Oreochromis niloticus: one gene and its partner. The protein of the gene in region 1 interacts with the protein of each later gene in a biochemical or structural test. Links are inferred from orthologs where the notes say so. Each region holds a gene or a part of one and is shown on either strand. Other genes may lie near its edges.

What was found.
Region 2: the proteins of mmp2 (region 1) and metalloproteinase inhibitor 4 form a complex in vitro, tested with the Homo sapiens proteins (2 studies listed by BioGRID). The link is inferred for Oreochromis niloticus from reciprocal best matches to the Homo sapiens genes MMP2 and TIMP4.

What each region holds. Positions count from the first base shown.
Region 1 is NC_031965.2:30,275,418-30,281,156, forward strand, and holds the start of mmp2 (72 kDa type IV collagenase), read right to left. Parts: upstream 3,604-5,739; 5' UTR 3,452-3,603; coding exon 3,299-3,451; intron 3,103-3,298; coding exon 2,876-3,102; intron 2,111-2,875; coding exon 1,962-2,110; intron 1,304-1,961; coding exon 1,175-1,303; intron 407-1,174; coding exon 233-406; intron 1-232.
Region 2 is NC_031970.2:18,948,860-18,954,598, reverse strand, and holds the start of metalloproteinase inhibitor 4, read right to left. Parts: upstream 4,193-5,739; 5' UTR 4,020-4,192; exon of another isoform or gene 3,862-4,019; 5' UTR 3,687-3,861; coding exon 3,548-3,686; intron 1-3,547. Other genes in the region: syn2b (synapsin-2b), read left to right, coding at 4,653-4,715, 5,593-5,735. UniProt on the Homo sapiens protein: Complexes with metalloproteinases (such as collagenases) and irreversibly inactivates them by binding to their catalytic zinc cofactor. Known to act on MMP-1, MMP-2, MMP-3, MMP-7 and MMP-9.

The sequences.
Region 1 (5,739 bases):
ACAGCTTTGAGTATAGCTATGATGTGATATTAAGTATTACTTTACTAGTACTGAAAGACTAATTAAATGTTTTGTCTGGTTCAATAAGATCCAAGTAGGGCATATCACTCCATCTAAGGTCATGTGGGGCCACAAAAGTTTCAAAAGCAAAACGTGCAAACAGACATCGCAGCTGCATGTCAAACATACAGTATATGTTTTAACAATAAAGGGACCCACTGGGTAAGCTTACATTCATGAGGGCAGAAGCCATATTTGCCATCTTCGTCAAAGTTGTAAGTGGTGGAACACCATAGGAAACCGTCATCACGACCCTGAGGTGTGCAGCTGTTGTACTCAGTGCCCATGAACAGGAAAGGGAATTTACAAAACTCGCCATCAGCATTGCCAAATTTTGCCTTCACCACTGTAAAACAAAGAATGCATACATAGATACATACTTATGTATAGAAAGAGGTGAAGCTATATGAATATTCACTCTATGGTGCTTGATTTCATATGATGCTTTCTCAATTTACTATGAAACTTTGTAGCATTAATTTCACACATGTTTAGAAGGTAATTTTTGTAATAAGCAAGCTAACCAATAACATAGCAAGCTTCTCCTGGAAGTTAAAGCAAATGTTGTTGTCTAGAATTTGGAAAGCAGTTTCAAAGTAGGCTTTGAAAAATGTCCAACAAAACTGTATAATGCAGGGTACAAATGATTTGTATGTAACAGTATGAACAACAAACACATATTGAGAAAATAAAAGTTCATCCAAGAGATCCTCATCTGTTCATCTGTTTGAAACTAGCACCAAGAGAAATGGAAAGTAGGTTTATAGATTATTTTCACACAAATTAAATATCCAGACATAAGGATGTTAAAAAAGGGGAAGTATTTGGGAGTAAAACTATCTGGGTCAATGGATGCGAATACAAATGTGTGCAATAGAGATTTTTTTAAATTTAGCTTCCAGATGTCTGTAGTTTGAAATGATGTCAGGTGCCAGAAAAAGATGCTTGGAAAAGAGTATCTGAAAGTTATATTAGTTTCTACAATGTCAAATTCTCACCAGACAAAATTTTAAATGAACTTGTCTAAGCAAAAAATGAAGAACTAAATAAATGAAGAAATCGACACTGGTGGTTTTGCTGCATGCACTTTTTGTAACTAGCATTCTTTCATTACCTTGCCCCTCTCCAAGTGTCCACTGCTCATCATCATCAAAGTGAGAGTCTCCACCAATTCCTGGGCCTGGAGCAAAGGCATGAGCCAGGAGACCATCCTTGCCATCAAAGGGGTAACCATCTCCATGCTCTATTGATGACATCATTAACCAATCAAAACAGGTATACTGACTACTTAAGACATGATGTGACATTTGTTCATGTATGCAAAGATTTCTGTTTCTGAAGCAACAATTCCATGTCTTCTTCAGCGGCCGATTTTCGGTTGCGTTCCCCTGTAATTACTAGATTCTTTCTGAATACAGTCAGCTGTGACCAGACAGAATGTGGGTAAATATCAAGTGGTTATTTTAGCTGGAATGTTTGGAATGACTTGGGTTAATACCATAATCCCCACTGCCTTTAGAGAATTCCTAAAATACAGGATGGCTGGGGTGTAGAGTCACTTTGAAAAGAATGTTACTTTAAAAAGATGTATGTTTTTGCTCCTTCAGCATTAGTCTAGAACTCGTGAGCTTCTGTTTAAATATTGACTTGTGCTAATTATTATAGGAACATTCTTAGAATTTTATCCTGCAGCACAATCTCTTTATTCTATTACAAAGATGTGGCAGATCCAATAAAAGGAGTATTTTGAGGGCTTACAATATGCGTATTACTATAAAACAAACTGATACATTTCTTTATTAATTGTGATCCTCGTAAACCCACCTGAGTACAGATGTACAATAGTTTTCAAATAACAAATGGAATATCTACATAGCGTGATGTTTATACACATAGTATACCATTGCGGCCAAAATTAATCATGATGTCAGCTTCTCCATCCATGATGCGGGTGAAAGTGAGTGGCGTGACATCACTCCATACTTTGAAGGCCCTGAAGAAAGCATCATTTATGACTTCTTCATCCAGATCGGGAGTGTAACCCAGGATTCTACAAATTGAGTAGAACAAGACAAACAAGCATGATTTAGATTGTCCAATCAGGACAATCTGTGAGTGTTGCAAATTCTCCTTTCTTTACTGAACATCATGGAAAATAAAGAGGCCAATATGAGTAATCTGTAAAAGCGCCTCCTGAAACAATGTTCAGCCGCAAACCCATTTGTATGCCTGTCTACACAGTCCTTTTCCTGAAAACAGTCTAAGATCTCATAGTTGTTATTGTCTTTGGCTTCCAGTCTTTCTTATAAACACACAGGCAGAGAGGCTGGAATGATCAGAACACGCAAAACCGCTGATATAAATAAACTACATCCACATCATAGTAAACCTCAAACAGAATGAAAACAAAGGACCTGACACATACTGTGTAGGAATGTTGGTGTTAGCGAGACATAAAGATGCAAGCACTTCAGACTGTGGGGATGGGGGTAGTGTGGAATGGAGGTTGTGGAGAGGGTGGGGCCGGTTTTAGAGGGTCAGACAGGGGCAAATATTTCTCAGTATCAACAACTTTGATTTATGGGCAATTGTTAAAGCAACAGATTTTTAAAAAAGTGCTGTGCAGTAAATGGTTCCCTAAAGTGCAGCATGCCAAGTAACTCAAAAACTATTAGATCACACCCAGTGGTAATGCCATAACCATTTTGCAGGCCAAGCTGATTAAAACCTCCGCAATTGTTTGAGAACTAATTTGGAGTCACAGTGGATTGGCACTCACTCCCATTATCATGTGTGTTATTGTTAATTCTCTGACCTGTAGGTGACGTCCTTGTTCTGCCATTTGGGTTTTCTGTGGAAGAAGTTATAATTGGCCACATCTGGGACACCGCAGCGGGGTTTTTTCATGATCTCTACAGTTTTGGAATCAATCTCTCCAGTTTCTTGCAGAGAAAAAAACTTTTGCATTTTCTTCAGGGTATCCTTGAGAACCATAAGATTACATCTGTCTTGTGGGCATCCATAAAACTTGTTTAGATAATGCTAAAGTTTGGATAAAAACATAAAATAATAGGTTAGCGTTGTTAGGGTATCTTTATATAAAATTAGAACAATAAGAAATAAATAATGTGAAAACTACTCCTGTTCATTTCTGGTACTCCAGGGGTAAAAACAGTTCATTGCTGCCTGACCTACTTAGACATATTCTGAGGAAGGAAAAAAAGAAAAAGAAACTTACCAAAGCAACTTCTTTGTCTGTTCTGGGGGTATCGTCTCCGGGAAACCTGATAATAGGAGAAGGACGAGCATTTACTGTTTGGAACGCGATGAACTGAAGCAAAAACAATTTGAGAAGACTCCGACGACAACTGAATATCGTCGGAAAGCCCATTTTCTCGGGTTAACAGTATATCTTGTGCGGTAAGTGCCGTTCGCTCTGAGTTGCAGTCCTTTCAGCCCGTCAGCTTGTGTTGCTTCTGCTCCTCAGCAGGATTTTTTTTTTCTCCTTAACGGGACATCCTGCACCTCGGGTCTGCAAACTTTCTTAGTTCTGCTTGCACATGCACTTTTCCCCCGACGCCTTCTGCGCAGTCTCCAGGTTGGGAAAGAAATGGGGACGAACCAGCAAATCAAATGCTGAATGATTCATCGACTACAGTTCTTAGTCACCCGCTTTTACCAGAAAACGTCTACAAATAAATAAAAATGTTCTTTTTTTATTGTTTCCTTATCTTTTTTTTTTTAAAGAGTAGGATAATCATCTAGTGGAGAAATTAACCAATTTTGGGCTCTCGCCCAAGCTGACCAATTAAACCAATGAAAACCTTCCGCTTTTTAAGTGTGTATTTCTTAAATTAATATGTGCAGATTCCAAGATAAACTATAACCTGCATGACAAGAGGTTTCAGCACATTGTTTGACTTTTTTGTTTGTTTGGGGATGATCTTTATCATTTTTCTTTCCAAACTTAAAATCACCTATTTGTTTACTAAATTACGTTCTGTCAACCAATTCAGCCAATAACTTTATAATTGGTAGAAGTGGGCGGTACTCATATATTTTATCCGCCTCTAGCTCGACTTTTTTGGTACTTTTTTGCACTGCTCACTGCTGTCTGAGAGCACCACCACACCCCCCTTCTAACTTTCTGACTTCCAGCGACCGATTTTCTTTTCTATCCCTATTCATGAATTTCTAAATAACCACTCGCGTTGCGGTGGGTAGAGGGAGCGGGGGGGATCATTATACCGGATTAATTTGGAATTCACTGACGCAAAGCAGCTCTACGCTTCCGTACAAAGCTGCTGAGCGTCACCACACAATATATTACCTTGCCAGGAGAGAAAAACAGCGACACCCGATTGCAGAAAGGCCAGAAGTTATTGAAAGTGGTAGATTGACATCTGCTGGTAGGATGCGAAACTGGCCTCAATATTTGGAAGCTAAAAAGAGACCATATATGTATTCTACCCATGAAAACTAATAAGGAAAAAAACAAAAACAAAGGATGAGTGTGTGTGTGTGTGTGTGTGTGTTCGCGTGGGGGGCGATGTTCGCTAACGCTTACTTATCCTAGTATACATGTTATAGAAAATAAACACACAGTAAAATATGATAAATAAATATATTGCTGTTTACCATGAGTTGACTTTAAACCTCATCAGACATTTTACTTAACGACAGCAATCTGCAAATGAAAGATGTAGATATATATAATAGAACGCCTTGTAAATATACTATTCTTGGACTGTGCCTGGTCATAAGATTTGTAATATCATATATATATGTATATAAAAGGTTTACAAAATATTTTTGTGCAGTGGAAAATGTATCGTATAGAATCTTTCTTATGTAGTTTGGTGTATAACGCTTCGCTTCCCAAAGCACTGTAATGTACTATAATTTACACTAAGTGAACTAACCTACTTTAACTATTGAATAGTTACAGTGGTGATTGGTGCCCTCTAGTGGCTCACATATAACAAGTACCTGGTCTGTTTTGTGGCCCTTGGAGCCAGTGTTCTTTCCTGATTTGTAATCTACAGCACAGATTTAGGATTTACTCTAACTCTCTTTGACATCTCTTTGTTTCCGCTCTCATACTGGATTACTCTGAACAGCATATGAGAGCAGACTCTTTAATAGAGAGAGCTGAAGGACTTTTTTTGCAAAGAGATCTGACAGATGGATAGCTCACAAACAGGATTTTGTGGTATATCTAGCAAAGCAATTTCCCTTCCCTTTAGCCAGAGTACAGTTAATTTTTCATAGCCGGGGCTGCTGTTGGTGGTTGCAGAGTGAATTTAACATCCATTTGCCAACAATATCCAGGACCTGTCACTTTGGAGCAGGAGCTTTATTTCATGCACTGATACATGCTGCCATCTCCTCTAACTGACACACTGGCAGTGATCTCTCACAGAGCCGGGGAACAGAATGGCTACCTATTAAATGTACATGGGCCTGCCTCTCCAAATAGAAAATGCTGGTATGTGAAAAGTTGAGCCACAGCTACAGTAATTGAATGCCTTTGTGCATATGAATGCAATTTTGTCGGCAAAAGTGGCATAAAGAGATGGAGATGATAAGGTTTGATTTGCATGTAAATTGTTTTTCTCTCTCCCTCATTCTCTGCTGGATGCTTAAGCCTTTTCTAGATTTAAGCACCGCACATGTGTG
Region 2 (5,739 bases), on another chromosome or scaffold:
TAAGTGAATTGCAAAACCTTCCAAAACAGTTTTCTTGGCCTAGATTATCTGAAATGTTTACACCACCACCACCCCCACCACCCCCACCCCCCTCTTTGAAGTGCACACGCTAATTTCAGTTACTGCAGCTGTGTTATGAACGGGAATAAGGACAGGCACGCCTGCTGAGTGAAAGTAGCTGTGCATCTGCCCCACAGTTTCATAACCAAAGAGAAATATTGCAAACTTGTACCATGAGAACCTATCTGTAGTAAGTAACTTCCCCCTCCAAGATGAATCGGCACCCTTGTCATGCTCACAATGCTGGACTGTCAGTGGGCTTTCACACTGATATTGTTAGTATGCAGACCATTAGACCAAGCCTATAGACATGGAAATGAAGTGGGGAGAGACTGGGAAAAGAGAGAGAGCGAGAGAGATGGAGTAGGCTGAGTTGGCATGGCTTGGCCTCTGTCCAACAAACAGACACTCACATGCACACAATGTCAAATACACAAACATGGCCAGGGAACCGTCCAAGGTTTGTCCAGATGGGATATTAGTCAGATGTTGAGCTTTATTCAAAGAGCTCATCGACTCTGACAGCACTGTCAGGTCAGCTAAAGGACACCACCAGCCTACTCTTAGAAAACAACCAAGGATGGCCTCAGGTGCCACCAAGTTTTTTGTTTCGATTTTGAGTCTCCTTTTTTGTTAAGCATCAGTCCAGAAAATTGTATCCTATCTGAAAAAGGCCCACCGTCCATATCCATTAAGAGACAGGCACATACTTTTGGAACTAAAAACTTCCACAGTTCAAAAGATTTTGGAATTATCTTTAGTAATTCTTCTGAATTTATGCACAACTTATGTATAAGGTTGTTCATGTGCAACAACCTTTGTAAGAGTTCATGCAATAAGTGTGTGTTGAGTTGGAGTCTCATCTGGTCTCATTTTTATCATTTATTTTTACTTACTGTTTACATTGTACACCTATTCTCAGTGCCACTAAATATTACATGACTTTAAAATGTAGCTCTGGTGCTATGGTATCAAGGTGCGGATCTCTTTGGGGGCATATGCCATTTACCATTTTTTTCACCGCTCTATATCTAGAATTTGTATTGATCAATTTTGTTTTGTTTCTGTTCTGACCCATGTTTAGATTATTCACTGTATGTTAAAAATCGATGTAACTACCAGCAGGGGGAGACTGTTGGAGTTTTACCTGGGTGGCTCCACAGTGTAGTTAAGTGAAAAATTCCTGGAGGAGACAAAAATCCCTTTGGTACTGAGTCAAAAAGGGCATCAGCCTTTAAAAAAACAAAAAAACACGTGGCACTGCGGTGACCCCTTGTGAATAAGGTAGCAGCCAAAAGTAACTTGTTTTTCTATAGAAGCCTATGGAAAAATGACCCTTGACCTCTGCCCCAATGTTTTTGTCAAACAAGTGTCCAGATCAAAGCTAAGCTCCCCTCATGAGGTGCAGTGCTGTGAAAAAGTACTTTCCTCTTTCCTGATTTTTTCCCTTTTTTTTTTAAATTGTCAAACTTAAATGGATCATTGTCTTAATATTAGACAAAGTGAACCCAAGTAAATACAAAATACAGTTTTTAAATGATCATTTCAAGTGGGAAGCTATTCTAAGCTACCTGACTCTGTCTGAAAAAAGTAATTGCCCCCTAAACCTAATAGCAAGATTGTGCCATCAAAGTGTTTGTGATAACTGACAATGATGGCAATCTTTCACATCACTGTGGAAATATTTTGGCCCACTCTTCCTTGCAGAACTAATTTAATTCAGCCATCACTGTTAAAGGTCATGCCAAAGCATCTCAATCTGATTTAAGTCCAGGCTTTGATAGCTTGGATAGCAATTTTCCCCACAATAAACAAAATCACCATGTAAAACCTAGATTTTGTAATTATTTGGGTTATGTTTGTGTGTATTAAAATTTGTTTGATTATCTAAAACATTTAAATGCCAAAAATATGCAAAAAAAAAAACCAACCAAAAAAACCCCCAAAGCAATCAAATAATGTTTCACTGAATTGTATATTGATCTAAAACTGTGTAATTTTCTCTCAGTAGATTTTTGTTTATTTCAGTTAAAATCAGTTAAAGGATAACGTAAAAACATTCTTGTGAACAAACTGCCCCTTTCTACAGAGTCCAGTTTAAACACCCTGCAGATGGTGAGGTTTTGTCACAGTTTTCATCTTAGAACTATTTTTCAAAGGTTTTGCTGGATAGTTTCAAGTCTAATTGACTACAACAGGAGTTTTTTTGTTTTTTTAATAAAAGGCCTACATTATGCCTGACATGTCTCTACTATGTGAGTAATTGGTGTCCTTCAGTTGCTCTGTCAGATCTGCACCATGCTCAACAAGTCCAGTTTCAAAATATAAAGATCGCAACAGCAATAATGCTCAGTTCAAGGTGTCTCAGTGTGACTGTGCTAATCAGTGGCTGATGTCCATCTTCTGTTTACATTCTATGGCTTACTGAATAAGCATACCTGCACAAGCAAGTAAATGTGTGACAACTTAGCAGTCAGAACCCTGCTCTCTATAACCAATGATTAAAAAATAGGGCACAGTGCCATGCAGCTGAAAACCAGAACATTCCAGCTTGAGATGTTATTCTGGTTAGTTCAGGTCCTCTAGTAGTTTTCCTTTATAGTTGCAGGCTTTGAAGAAAGCTCAAAGAGCCAAACATCCACACTTAAAACCTAAAAACCTTGTATTGAGATAACCAAGATCTAAATTGGCTGTTCACCTGGAGATTTTGAATACAGGTATTGCCTTTCATTTAACCCGGCCTGTGTTTTCAAAGCACTTTAAAGAAGTTGACCCTCGAAACCTAAAGGGATATGCAGCCCAACTAGAAAACATGACTAAAATAAAAGCAATTTCCTCTTCTCTCTCTCTCTGTCTCCCTCTCTCCTCTGCTGGAGTGTAACCTTTGACCAAAGCACATACTCCAGCTTTCCACACTCTGGAGCCAAGTACTCAAAGTCAGAGCAGAGTGTTGGTTTTGGCTTGTGCTTAGACAAGAAAGAACTGGATGACGGGGGCGTCGGACAGAGAGACAGGCACACAGACAGACGGACGGACAGAAAGTAGGCCAGGACTTTTTTTTTCTTTCTTTTTTTTAGGACTTGTTTTTATGTGAGTGACAACAGGAAGGCGCTAATTTGTGAAAACAGATAGCACACAAAAAAAGAACATGTTAAGAGAAAAACTGCATCCAAATCAGCTTATTTAAATACGGCTATAAAAATCAACCTTGAAATTATGTTCAGATAACTCATGTTTTCTATGAATAATAATCATAAGAATCAAAAAGGCCACAGTAGCTTAGCCATGAACCTCTATTGATTGTAAAACTAATTTTGCACTGTGGATTGATTTTTCCCCCTGAAAGCATCTAATTAATCTGATCAGTAATCCAAATAATAAGTTGGTTAGTCAAGATGTAAGGACATTGTCCAGATTAGAATAAATAAAAAAGCATGCACCTATTTTCACACACATAAACTTGGTTATTCTACATTCAATAACTTACCAATCTCAGCACTGCAAAAGAGCTGTTGTGGGTGTGCTGGGTGGCAGCTGCATCCCTCCACAACTTCCTCCAAGCCTGCACCAAGCAAAATGAGCACCCAAAGCCCCAGACACACACTCCGCTCCTGGGACACGGCCATGATGACTCTGGCTACCTCTGACCGCTCCGCCACTTGATGAAAGCTCGGCAACCTCTTGTGATCCTGTTAAGTTCCCCTGGAAGCAAGTCGGGTGGGCAGTCAGCAAGAGGGCAGGGTGATAGATAAGACGGTGGGGTCGAAGTGGTAAGATGAGCTCTGCTGAGCCGAAAGGCAGCTGTGGATAGAAATGTTTTCATAAGTTTAAAGTAAACCTATGAATTCAAGCTGCAGTGAAGGGAAGGGAAGGCTGCTGCTACTGTTGCTGCTGCTGCCACTGCTCTCTTTTCTCTTCTCCTCTCTCCCTCTCTGTAGACAATACGCAGAGGAACTTACAATAGTTGGATCCCCTCACACTCTGGTCTTGAATGCTGAGAGGGTCGCACACAGGGAGCCTCTTATGTGCTCAACAATTTAGGGACAGCCTCCTCTAACGCAAGAAGAAAAACTACCATCCTTTGGCTCTTCTTCTGCCCTCTTTTGATGTCCCTACTCTCCTCCCATAGGCTGGCATAGGTCTCATTTACTTAGTCATAGTTTCATGTTTCATGTAATCACATCCACTTGGGAGATTAGGTTTGGTTTTTGGATTTTGTTTACAGAGCTGCAGTGGATTTGTGTACATACACGATGATTTTGGTGATTCCCTGACTTGTCCTCTAGCACCACCATGAGCATCACATGTTAGGATTTTACTGAAATAAAGACAAATTTTTGTATTATATTTGCACAGTGTTCCTGTGACTTTCATAAGATGTTTATTGGCATTATTTGAGGATGAATTTTACTGACTTTGATATGAGTTTTCGTTAATTGCAGCAGTTTTACTGCTTTACTAACAACGACCACTGCTAAAGGGGCCTCTTACTTTTCACTGCAGGATTTTCCAGTGTGTTATTATAACTAACATAAGTTGTCATTATGCTTCTTCATCATTATTTATCCATCAGTTATACTGTTTCTTTGCAGATTACAACACCAAGCTTCCCAGTGGTGGTGAAGATTGGACATGCTCACTCTGGAATGGGAAAGGTAATTGATTTCTTTATTTATCAACTGGCATATATACAGTTAGATTAACTATTTAACCACATCTGCTTTACTTACACTTTAGCTACCATTCAAAGATATGTGGGGATCGAATATTACAGCCAGGAAATAGTTTTGGCTCTGTGAATGGAGGACAAATCATGTGGCTATTATAGTAGTTAGCTTAGATGGTTAAATGGTAATCATAAAGCACCACTACATCTAGAATCACATTTATTGTACTTTTTAGTGCTTTTGCTGGCATACACGACCACTTAATAGCCTTCTCCCATCCTCTGCTTCCATCTTAGATGTCTTTCTTTATCCCTTTCCTCCTATCAGTTCATTGTTTTTATTCTCTCTTCCCTTTTGTCCTAACATTGTGCTGTTATTGATTGACAACTGTGTTAATATTTTCTGGCTGAAATCAGAGTGGAGCGTTTCTGCCGCTCCTCATCGATCCACCACACATCATTCCCCTGAACTGCTCAGTTCGATAAGCCATTTTCACACATGCACTACAGCCCCGAACTTTCCTGCACATTATATGGAGAAGCTTTATGTGAGAAAGCAAACGTCTTATCCGGTCAGATTGGACATTATTGTGACACAAGAAGGTATTATTTTTGTATTACAACTGAGTTACAGGAGCTCAACAACCACTCATACTTGAAAATGTTCTAAATAGTCTAAGCCTCCAGGTCTTAAAAGTAAAGCCGATGGAGAAGCGCTTTAACCTGCACTTTTTCTATTTAGCAGCAGGGGTTGAAATGTGCATTGATGGCATTTGCGTGACAAATTGTAAGACTGGCTGCATTTTGAGAGTCTTTCTTTATTTGAATAAATAAATTAAGTATTTATATGTTTTACTCCAATGTAGGTTAAGGTGGACAATGTGAGCGACTTCCAGGACATTGCAAGTGTGGTGGCCATCACTCAGACTTACTGTACTACAGAGCCATTTGTAGACGCCAAGTACGACATCAGGGTCCAGAAAATTGGCACGGACTACAAAGCCTACATGTAA